Caenorhabditis elegans: one gene and its partner. The protein of the gene in region 1 purifies or fractionates together with the protein of each later gene. This does not show direct contact. Each region holds a gene or a part of one and is shown in the gene's direction. Other genes may lie near its edges.

Region 1 (6,011 bases):
CAAGCCAAAAACACATTGCAAAAGAGGAAAGAGAGTGAGAGAAAAGAGACATAGAGATAGCCAGAGACACACACATAAACCAACGGACACCAACGCTGCCTGTTGGGGGCAGCAGCAGCGTTTTCGCTTCCCCTCCAACCGCCCATACGGACTCTGCGTATCACATCTCTCGCTTCTGCTGCGACCTCTCTGCGTAGCGTGCTGAGCGACGCGGACGGACTAGGCACACACACACGACTGACACGTCTATATTGTTGTGTCCCGGAGAGACTATCTACCCCTCCACTGTAACCTTTAAATTCCCCAAAAAACCCAAAAAAATTAGACTACTTTAATCAAAAACTTCAACAAAAACCAAAAAAAAAACTCAACATCAACTAATATTCTTGCTGATTGGAAATCATCACCTGCAAACGAACCAACAAAGAAGTAAGTTTTTTTTTGAAGTAAATATGTAGAAATGCTTGAATACTCATCAACCAAGTTTCAATAAACCTGTCCTATCATTATCGAACGTCTTTCAGCTCTTCCCATATTCAGACTTAGCAATAAGTGTTTCTCACTTCTCTGTAAATTTCGCAATTATCGAACAAAAACACCATATGACGGAGACTGCAAATGATAAAAATAGGCAAAATAGGGCCCAGAATCACATGTTTCTATACAATAACATAGGTGTCCTTTTCCTTGCTCGCTATCATTCTGTTTTCCAATTTTGTTTCCGTTCGGTTCCAACACGTCAAAAATTGAAAAACGAGGGCGCCGAGCGAGAGCGAAGCAGCCATAAAACCGTCATGTTTATATGTTGTGGCAGTTGAAGAGAATGCATGAATCATCTCACTGGGCCCCTCATTCGCTCCTCTCCTTTCGCCGCAGTCCGTTTAGTTATTGTCGAATCATCACCGCCACCAATCATCACAACACAGCCGCATTCCTTGTCCTGCTTCTCTAGCGGCTCAGATAATATCAATCGTCTTCTTCCTCCGTGGTGTAAGGAAGAGGGTGAGGCTTGTGTCGACGACAGTAGATCCTGAACAGATAGCGAAGAATAGTAAGGGGGAGGGAGATCAAAAACCAATCAATTCGATAGGCGATTGTCAATACACGAGTGAATTAGAATCATCCATAAAACTATACATTTTCTACAGTATTCTCTCCCACTCTTTTTGGTTTCCTTTCCTGTTAATTCGTTTCACTCTCTTCTTCTCCTCTCTCGGTTTTTTCTTCTTCCGCAAAACTATTGTCGCTATCTGTTGCGCCTGACGCGATCGTTCGTCGTCCCCTCGCTCCCGAGGCAGGCCCATGCTGCAACAGCAATATATCTATATATTCAATAGACGATAAAAAGCAGCGGGGCAAAAAGAAGAAAAAGAGAAAGAGTGTTGGCTGGGCTTCTTCTCCTTGTTCACTCCCGGTTTTCCATCATTGACTCCGATGTTTTTTTCTTTTCCTATTGCCTTAGCATCGGATGTTTCACATCCTAATCTTTTTACGTTCGACTTTCCATGTTCCTTATGGATTTCTATAATCTCGTAAAAATACAGTAGAAAGCAATTTTCATGCCCATTCCAACACAATAAAGATACGTCGTTGACACGCCAGGGCATTTGAGCATTGCACCCAATTTCCACTCCATTTATAAATGTGGGCGAAAGATGAGGAAAGGAGGGCTGCACGCCTTTTTTCTTACTTGCCTTCATTCACGCCTTCCCTTGTTCAGTCACTTTAGTTTCTCCCATTTTGCTCATTCTTATGTGAATTTGGTTTCACAATACATTTTCCTGCTCTCGTCCTTTTAGCAATTTTCTATTTTTCAGTACGATGGCCCAAGTTCCACCGCCAATGACTCAAGTGGTTACCAGTGCTCCACCACCGACCGCAGCAGCAACCGTCGTCGCCGGTGCAGTTGCCGGACAACCACAAGCCGTCATTCAGCAGGGTCCACCGCCAACAAACATAGGATACCCGCCAAATGCAACCTATTCGATGGCTTCACTCTACATTGGTGATCTTCATCCCGATGTTTCAGAGGCTATGCTATTCGAGAAGTTCAGTATGGCGGGACCGGTGCTTTCAATCCGAGTGTGCCGCGACAATACCAGCCGCTTGTCGCTCGGGTATGCCTACGTCAACTTCCAGCAGCCTGCTGATGGTGAGTTTGCATTTTGATTAAATTCAGAAATTTTGTGAGATAGCTCTTTAACATCTGAGACGCAATGCACAGCGAAAGGGAAGATTGTTGTATGCACAACAGGGGACGTTGTACATATATCACATGAACACACCAGTACCAAACCGTGCTCTCTCACCTCGCAACAACAGTCCCCGTTCTGCTCACACATCTCTCTGTGCAGAATTGCGCAATAAAGAGAGCCACTAGAAGAGTTGCCACGTCACAGTATGACGTAGTCTGTGGGAAACAAGTGTTTATAGAATGCATACCAGGTGCTAGAAAATTTGAATGCTTGTTATATAAAAATGAGGAAGACAACTCATAAAAATATGTTTATTTCAATTTATCACATGGAATATAATAATTCTTACAGCCGAGCGCGCCTTGGACACTATGAACTTCGAAGTCATCCACGGACGTCCAATGCGTATCATGTGGTCCCAACGTGACCCTGCTGCTCGCCGTGCCGGAAATGGAAACATCTTCATTAAGAACTTGGATCGTGTCATTGACAACAAGTCCGTCTACGACACTTTCTCGCTTTTTGGAAACATTTTGTCTTGCAAAGTTGCCACCGACGATGAAGGAAACAGCAAAGGATACGGATTTGTTCACTTCGAGACTGAGCACTCTGCGCAAACTGCCATTGAGAAAGTCAATGGAATGCTTCTTTCTGATAAGAAAGTGTAAGTTTACCCTATTGAGTTGCAAGTTTAATCGTTTAAATTTTCAGCTATGTCGGAAAATTCCAACCTCGCGCACAACGCATGAAGGAGCTTGGAGAGAGTGGCCTCAAGTACACCAACGTCTTCGTCAAGAACTTCGGCGAGCATCTCGACCAGGAAAAGCTTTCCGCAATGTTCTCCAAGTTTGGAGAGATTACTAGTGCCGTAGTGATGACCGATGCGCAAGGCAAACCAAAAGGTTTTGGATTTGTCGCTTTTGCTGATCAGGATGCCGCTGGTCAAGCTGTTGAAAAACTCAACGACAGCATTTTGGAAGGAACTGACTGCAAGCTTTCAGTCTGCAGAGCTCAAAAGAAGTCTGAGCGTTCTGCAGAGCTCAAGAGAAAGTACGAAGCTTTGAAGCAAGAGCGTGTCCAGCGTTATCAAGGAGTAAACTTGTACGTCAAGAACATTGAGGAAGATCTCAACGATGATGGTCTTCGTGATCACTTTTCTTCCTTCGGAACAATCACTTCTGCTAAAGTTATGGTTGATGAGAACGGAAGATCGAAGGGATTCGGTTTCGTGTGCTTTGAGAAGCCAGAAGAGGCAACCGCTGCCGTCACTGATATGAACTCCAAAATGATTGGAGCCAAGCCACTGTATGTGGCCCTTGCTCAACGCAAGGAGGATCGTCGTGCTCAGTTGGCATCTCAGTACATGCAAAGACTTGCAACTCTTCGCATGGGACAGCAGGCCAGCGGAGTTCCAGCAATGACTCAGCTCTACCAGCCAGGACAACAAGGATACTTTGTTCCAAATCCAATGAATGTACGTTTCTACAAAGTTAATTCAAATGTCTTAATTTCTTAATTTACAGGCTCAAGGGCGTCCAGGATTCCAGCCACAATCTGCTCAAATTCGCGGACCACCAGGACAACGCGTGTTCCAAAACCAGATGTTCATGCAATATCCATTCAATCAGCGCCAAGTTTACCCACAACAACAGGGACGTCCACCAATGCGAACCAACGATGGTCGTCCACAATATGGAATGGCTCCAAGACCAGCCGGAGCACCACGTGTCGGAGGACCTGGAGTGCAGATGGGAGGGGCACCTATTCGTCAAGTAAGCTTTAATCCAGATAAAATGAATACTACTCTCTATTTTTCAGCAAGGACCAGCCCCACGCGGAGCACCACAGAAGCCGTTCTACCAAGGACCACCACGCCAGCAACAACCACAACAGCACTCCCAGCAACCAGCACAACAGCCAGGACAACAAGGACAAGGACAATCCGGAATCGTTATTCACGGACAGGAGACTCTTACCTCCCATATGCTTGCTCAAGCTGCTCCACAAGAGCAAAAGCAACTTCTCGGAGAGCGTATCTATGCTCTTATCGAGAAGATGTTCCCGAACCACAAGGAGGCCGGCAAAATCACTGGAATGATGCTGGAGATTGACAACGCCGAGTTGATCATGATGCTCCAAGACGCTGAGTTGTTCAGAAGCAAGGTCGAGGAAGCCTTTGGAGTGCTCACCAATGCTCAGAGTGCTGCTGCTTCTACTTCTGCTCCAACTGCTAAAAACTAAGCTCTCTAACTTCATCTTGCATGCCAAGGTCGTAATATTCTCTGATATTCAGAGCAAAAATTGTTGGCTATACTTTTTGGTACTGAAAGCAGTATTCATTCTGCATTTCATAATTTCTCATCCAATTTTTTTACCTTCCCATTTCCTATTGTACTTTCTTCAAATAATCTTACAAAAAACCCCAAAAAAATTTAAAAATCTGGAGAAAAAATTAAAAAAAAAGGAAAAAAATTCAAAAAATTCAAAAAAATGCTTCTATTTTTCTTTATTTCAATTTCACATTTCTTGCTTGGTATTTAAAATTGTCTTGAACTGCGTTGAAGCTGATTTCTTTAACGAATGTGTATAGTTTCATCTGAAAATCCCTAAAAAAAAATATTTTTTCTTTTCTGGTCCTCTCTCTTGTCTCACTTCAATCCAATTCAACATTTATGTGTACTTTGTTACTTTCTCCAGAATTTCGGTGTTTTTTTTTTTTTCATCAAAAACTTGGAAACCTAGAGATTGCAACTAATTTTTAACATGGTAATTTGTTCGGCCTTGTAATGTACTCCGAAGCCCAAGCTCAGAACAAATCGTCTCACCCCCGCCAGCCAGCAATTTCATTGAAATTAGATGCTTCTTTCTGAATGCTTTGATATTTCTGTGCAACAATGTGCAACTTTGTCATTTCCCGCCTAATAATATGCTCTTTGTGTTAATAAGTATATTCCCACTTATATAAGTTATTGCAACTCTCACCCCTCCCCATCCTCCCATAAAACCTAAAATTTTTCTTTTGTACCCCAATTTGTACCCACATAACAATTGATACATCCATTCTGTGGTTTTTCCGATATCCCAACATCTTATCGTTTTCCCCAGAATTTTTCTAATTATCATTATAATAATTTTGTTGTAAACTTTTTGAATTAAATAATGATAAATGTATCTATAAAAGGAACTCATCTGTTCTATTTTCAAAATTACTTTCAAAATGCGGAGAAACACTCAATAATGGTGACCTGATATTTAATAACAACAGGATTACTTGAATATAACAAAACATAATGCGGCATCAAAAATCAATTTTCTTCAATTTGATCAATTTGCAAAAAATCTGAACAAGTTCTTACCTCTGAACTCTGAACTTTGAAAATGAATATCTGACTTAAAATGAACTTTTTGAAAATGTTTCTTCGGGGACTTGTTTCAAATTTTAAGCGCTTTCAGAATTTAATAACAAAATTTTTCCAGGTGCCAGAAGTTTTAGGTTCAATCCAGAAAACTGAATTTGAGCCATATAAATGACCGCATTTGTTTATTAGGAGATTTATTTAGTTTGTGTAACTTTGAAAATTAATATCTGACTTAAAATGAACTTTTTTGAAAATGTTTCTTCGGGGACTTGTTTCAAATTCTAAGCGCTTTCAGAATTTAATAACAAAATTTTTCCAGGTGCCAGAAGTTTTCAGTTCAATCAAAAAAACTGATTTTCAGGATCAATTTTAAAGTTATGAAATGTAAGTAAATATGAAAACAAATAATCGGTTATATTGCATCTAAAAAAGTGCGGTCAGCCACATGCCTAAAATT
Region 2 (5,287 bases), on another chromosome or scaffold:
ATTTTTGGTACCGATGATTCAGATTCCGGGCAGATGAATTTTTAGCAGCTTCAGTATTGGGTTTTTGAGATTTGAGATGTTTCTGCCTTCTTCCTATATTATACTGTAGGAGTACTGTATGTGATAAACGGTAGGGTACTGTAGGTGGTAAACGGTAGGTGTACTGTAATTTTTTGTTCAAAAACTTTTTTTTTCCCTCTCATAACTTTGCCGTCGTTTGAGCTATTCTGATTCTGAGCCAAATATATGAAACCTTGAAGATTTCTTAAGCGAGAGACGAAAAAAATTTTGAAAATCGAGTCATACATCACAGAGATAATCGACCGAATAGAAAAATAATGCCTTTTTTGATTTTTGATTTTTCAACTTTGAGCGTTTGTTAATTGGTTTGTTTAAGTTTAATTTTAATTCTGTTTTTTTTAATAGACTCAGAATTTGACGCTGAATTCAAATATGTAAGATTTTTTTCCAGCTTTAAAAATGAAAAAGTTATGAAAAAAAACTAACATTTCATCTCCTCATCAAAGTTTTCGAAATATCTTTTATGTTTTTACATTTTCTTTTTAAAATTGAAAAATCTTTTCAGCATATTTCTTTCATCTTAGAGAAACTGAAAATTCAGCGCCCAGGGCGCTAAATAATTATTCAAAATTTTTAAATTAGAAACAACTCCTTAGCATATTCCATCAATCTTAGAAATAGTTCAAATCAGCGACGAAGGCGCTGAATAAGTCTTCAAAGTTTTAAATTAGAAACAACTCCTTAGTATGTTTCTTTATTTCAGAAACTTTGAAAAATTCAGCGCCGAAGGCGCTGATAACTCTTAGGAATTTTTGAATTTAGAACAACTCCTTAGAATATTTTTCTAATCTTAGAGAAGATTCAACTTAGCGCCCAAATAATTTTTAAGAATATTTCAATGTGAAACAACTCCTTAGAATATTTCTTTAATCTTAGAGGAACTGAAAACTAAAGCGCCGGAGCCGCTAAATGATTTTTCAAAATATTAAATTAGAAACAAATCTTTGGAATATATTTTGAATTTCAAGGTGAACACACTTAACCCCAACACAGGTTTGAGGCAAAGCCGAGAACCTGCGCCAGCTACCTTGTTGATACTTTAGAGCGAAATAACCCTATCCCCACTCCCGAAGGGATAGCGCACTTTGTGCGCTAGTCTTAAAAATTTTTTTTTTAATTGAAGGTTTACAAACAAATTTGAACTTTTAAAAAGCTTTGCTATGTAGGAAAAAGGATACTCAATTCAAGAAATGGTATGTAGAAAAATCGATTTAAAAAAAGTTTTTTGATTTTTGATTTTTAATTTTAAAAGTTTAGTCCCAATAATTCAATAAAGTTTTTCCAGAAATAGAGCAAATTCGAAAAATAGCTGAGCTAATGGGCAATCCAACGGAACCGGACGAAGTTTCGGATGAAAAAGACGATAGTTCTGAATCAGACTACTAGTTGCTGAAAAAATAATTTATAAGTTTATTTTAGTCACATTGTTGATAGTTATAAATATTTTTTTGAAATAAAAAAAACCAAAAATGTGTTTTTTGCACTGAAAATGTTGCGTTGGCTCAGTTGCAGGGTAAACCCATCAATTCATAACTTCAGCAAGAAGTCCAAATTGTGTTAAGTTCGAGATCCCTTTAGAAAGCAATCTTGCACTTATTTTACTTTTTCTTAAATCTACAGTTCAAATTATTAAACAAAAATATCTGAAATCAAGAAAAGTTTATCTTCACGGATGCTGAAAGTTTATAGACTTGTGGAAGTGTTCTATGATCACTTCTCATGTTGCACTGAGTGGACTTTGGAGACGTGCATAAAGCGCATGACTCTAACGCCCACGCGGCCTCTGAGCAGGGAGCGTCACGCCCTCACGAGTATATAAGCCGACTAGAGAATAACATCCTCAGTCGAGAAAGACCTTGCCTGCTGGCGCCGGACGAAAGTAAGACTCTCGTCGTCTGGCACAGCAACGACTCAATAAATGCTTTAGCACACAATCAAAGTGTTTTTGCATGATGTTTAACCATAAGCTGTGGCACCGGTTTATGACCGTTAACAGACTCCTCCAGTATATAAGGTTGTCCAAACAACTTAATTTTTCATATTTTGTGCAACACTATCTTGCTGAAATGAAAGAAACCGGCCCGTGTTGTTACATTCTGCTCATTTTAATTTTTCCGCCAATCGCCGTCTACGTGAAAGAGGAAAGATGCTCTCTGTCAGTTTGGCTCAACCTTTGTTTCTGCATCCTCTGCTGGTTTCCGGGGGTGCTTCATGCTATAGTCGTCTGTTTCTGCTTGAATTATTTATTTTATTTACTTACTATCAAGAAATGAATTCTTGAGATTAATTTATTTAGAAGAATATAATACTGAATTACAATTAAAGAGAAGAAAAGGGGAAGATAGCGGTCTACATCTAGAAAGGAAGCATTGGTATTATATAATATAATATAAAAGAAGGAACTTATATAGGTCTGTTTTTAATCGAATTATAATGATATTGGGGTTGGCGTGAATCATATGAATAGGAAAAGAAGGGAAACGTTTTGGTTTGAATCATAAGGATCAAATATCATATTCAAAGAGGGAAAGATTTGACACTTACATACAATTAGATTAATTTTTCCATGTACAGATTATCTCAGACCACAGGATATGTAGTTGCTGACTAACATTTCACTGCTAATGTGTAAGCGGCCACTGATTGAATATTGTGGGAGAATTAAAATTTGGACTCTGAATGAAATTGCTTCATAATAAAGCAAAAAGTTATCCAAATTTCTATATTTATCATGTTTTTGGATACTGTAGTTAAAAGGTATAAACGCTTTATATTATATTTTAGTTTTCAAAATACATATATAGGGAAAGCCTCATGCAAATTTGTCTAGAAAAATGATTTGAAATTGTTCAAGAAGTATGAAAATGTTAAAAAGCGTACAGTTAAACAAATTTAAGATTTTGGAATTTGTCAATCAGTAGGTTTATATTAATCTTAAAAATGATAAAATCTGCAAACCCGGATTTTAAAATAATATAATAAAAAAATAATAAAAATTTTAAATAATATAATACATAAAACTATAGAACAATTTCCAGAGAACTGTTTAGATTTTTTGTTGAATAGAAAGTTTCCACAGAAAATTTCAAAAACCGCCTTTGGAGCAATTTAACTGGTAAAACACGGAGCTAATAGTAAGCAAAAATTTCAAATTTTTTCACAAAATTTCAATCACAAATATTTTCTAAAAAATGTTAAAAATAAAACAAAAAATTACTAATTTAAATTGCTTTGTTACGTGACACATTTTATGATGACAAACATACTTGTTTATCAGACATGAAATCTCAATCTCAGTTATTTTATATTTTTAATGGCAAACAAGAAGAGTACGAGTAGCTGCTATGAAAAGCCAATCGCTCAGAAATTATTTTATGGATTAGCTGTAAGTTTTTGGATGCCTCCGAAACCGAAATCCGAAACCGAAAAAAAAAGAGAGTTTTCAGGACCATCCAAATCACGGTGTATTTTCGTCGATTCTGAAGAAAAAGAATCGCTTGTTTTCGATGACTGATGACGTGAAGAAGCTTTGCAATCAAGTTGAAGCTTATAAAGAAGCCGCAGATCGACTTCATCAGGCACTGATTCAAATGTTCGTTGAGAATCAGGAACTTATGAAAGCTGATACGAATTATCAGTACGCTGGGCAGTATCTAAAGACGTATCAGGCGATAAATCAGAAAGGAAGAAAGTTGGGTACGAAGGTTGACCCCAAAGAAATGGATGTGAGTTTAGTTGCAGAATTGATCAGAAAAGTGACGCGACATTCAGTTTCTAGAGCGAATCCTGTTGAAAATCGAGGAAGTTGGAACGACTTTTTTGCACCTAAGAAATTTGGTATATTTTCTAGGCTTGGATTTTTAGGCTTAACAATTTAGGCTAAGGGCTTTTAAATGTTAAAATGTAGGCTTAGGCTTTTCAAATAAACCATTTAAGCCCAGGTAATCAGGCTTAGGCTCCCCAATTTTTTGGCTTATGGAATGGCACCTGATAATAAGGACACAAATTTCAGAGCTTAGAACCGGCTATCCAAACCTTGCTCAATCTGGATTCCATACAAGCAAAGCAAGTCCAAAGGCATCTGGAAAACTTGTCGGCGTTGACAAAATTCATTGGCGTCGACTATTGGGAGTACGCAAGGCTTCGAAAGAGTAAGAATAAAAGGGTCTATAATATGAATCTAAATAAAAAATTTCAGTTTATTGGCTCTCGCTGGAAACCTACGACGACGCAATCAGTCAGCAGAATAAGGAGCGAACGGAGCAAGCCGAACTCGCGGCGGGAAATGCTCAGACATGGAGGAATGAGTGCAGACAGAAGGTTATTGACTTTATCAATAAGTCGATTAATGAGCAGAAGGGGAAACACGCGGATGCAGTTTTGAAGTAAGTTTTGGAACTACTCCCCGAAAAAAAAAAATTTTAAGGTTTCGTGACGATTCAATTCTCTTCCACAAATCCATTGCTGAAGCTATCCCAATATTTGATGATAGAGCACTGCCAAAGAGTAAAGAAAAGCCATTGAAATCCAAATGAAACTTGTCCGAATAAAGAATTATGTGATTTTTATTGCTTGCAACTTCAAATGTGTTATATTTGATTTTAGTCATCAGTTTACAGCCACATCAGCCACAAGGCACCCCTGATTCCACCAAAAGGTGCGCGGCGATTGCCGACGGGTAATTCTACAATTTCAGGCAGAGATGTGTTTTCCCAATATTTTTCATTAAATTTTAGTGAAAAGATGTAGAAACTATGTGATCTCTCCCATAATAACGCAATTGCCGCGCAACCCGGATTCTATCCCTCTCCATCGCCTCAACATTCGCCCGCTATTTCACTTTTTTCGAATGGCATTTTGGAAACGTTTTTTGAATAGCTAAGGTTGCTATGGGGTGGCTCATCACGTCCCACACAACACCCCTAGCTTTAACAATAAATTTACGCTGAAAACAGAACAGAAATGAATCACATTTTATTCTCTCAAGTGCTATAGTCTACTTCAGTGCTTCAACCTTCTCGACATTATTTCTCCTTTTTTCCATCTTTCTTCTTATCCAATTTGTTTGACTTGCAAGCGACTGGTTCCTGCAGAGTTTCTCGAATTTCAGCCAATTTTTGTAGTCCCGCTTTGTACCAGTGTTCTCTTCTGTCATCTGGACAAGTCAATCGCGTAGATGTATAGAATTTCTGGAAAATGTCGTGAT

Evidence for each region.
Region 2: the proteins of pab-2 (region 1) and Y37F4.1 fractionate together in Caenorhabditis elegans (co-fractionation; one large-scale study listed by BioGRID). This does not show direct contact.

What each region holds. Positions count from the first base shown.
Region 1 is NC_003284.9:13,521,630-13,527,640, reverse strand, and holds pab-2 (Polyadenylate-binding protein), read left to right. Parts: upstream 1-1,817; 5' UTR 1,818-1,821; coding exon 1,822-2,152; intron 2,153-2,175; exon of another isoform or gene 2,176-2,382; intron 2,383-2,544; exon of another isoform or gene 2,545-2,546; coding exon 2,547-2,859; intron 2,860-2,906; coding exon 2,907-3,669; intron 3,670-3,718; coding exon 3,719-3,967; intron 3,968-4,013; coding exon 4,014-4,436; 3' UTR 4,437-5,379; downstream 5,380-6,011.
Region 2 is NC_003279.8:10,856,154-10,861,440, forward strand, and holds Y37F4.1 (BAR domain-containing protein), read left to right. Parts: upstream 1-1,933; 5' UTR 1,934-2,492; intron 2,493-2,655; 5' UTR 2,656-2,838; intron 2,839-3,358; 5' UTR 3,359-3,394; coding exon 3,395-3,466; intron 3,467-3,527; coding exon 3,528-3,806; intron 3,807-4,093; coding exon 4,094-4,232; intron 4,233-4,279; coding exon 4,280-4,466; intron 4,467-4,507; coding exon 4,508-4,616; 3' UTR 4,617-4,645; downstream 4,646-5,287. Other genes in the region: Y37F4.2 (Sec-independent protein translocase protein TatA), read left to right, coding at 1,367-1,467; Y37F4.5 (START domain-containing protein), read right to left, coding at 5,106-5,287.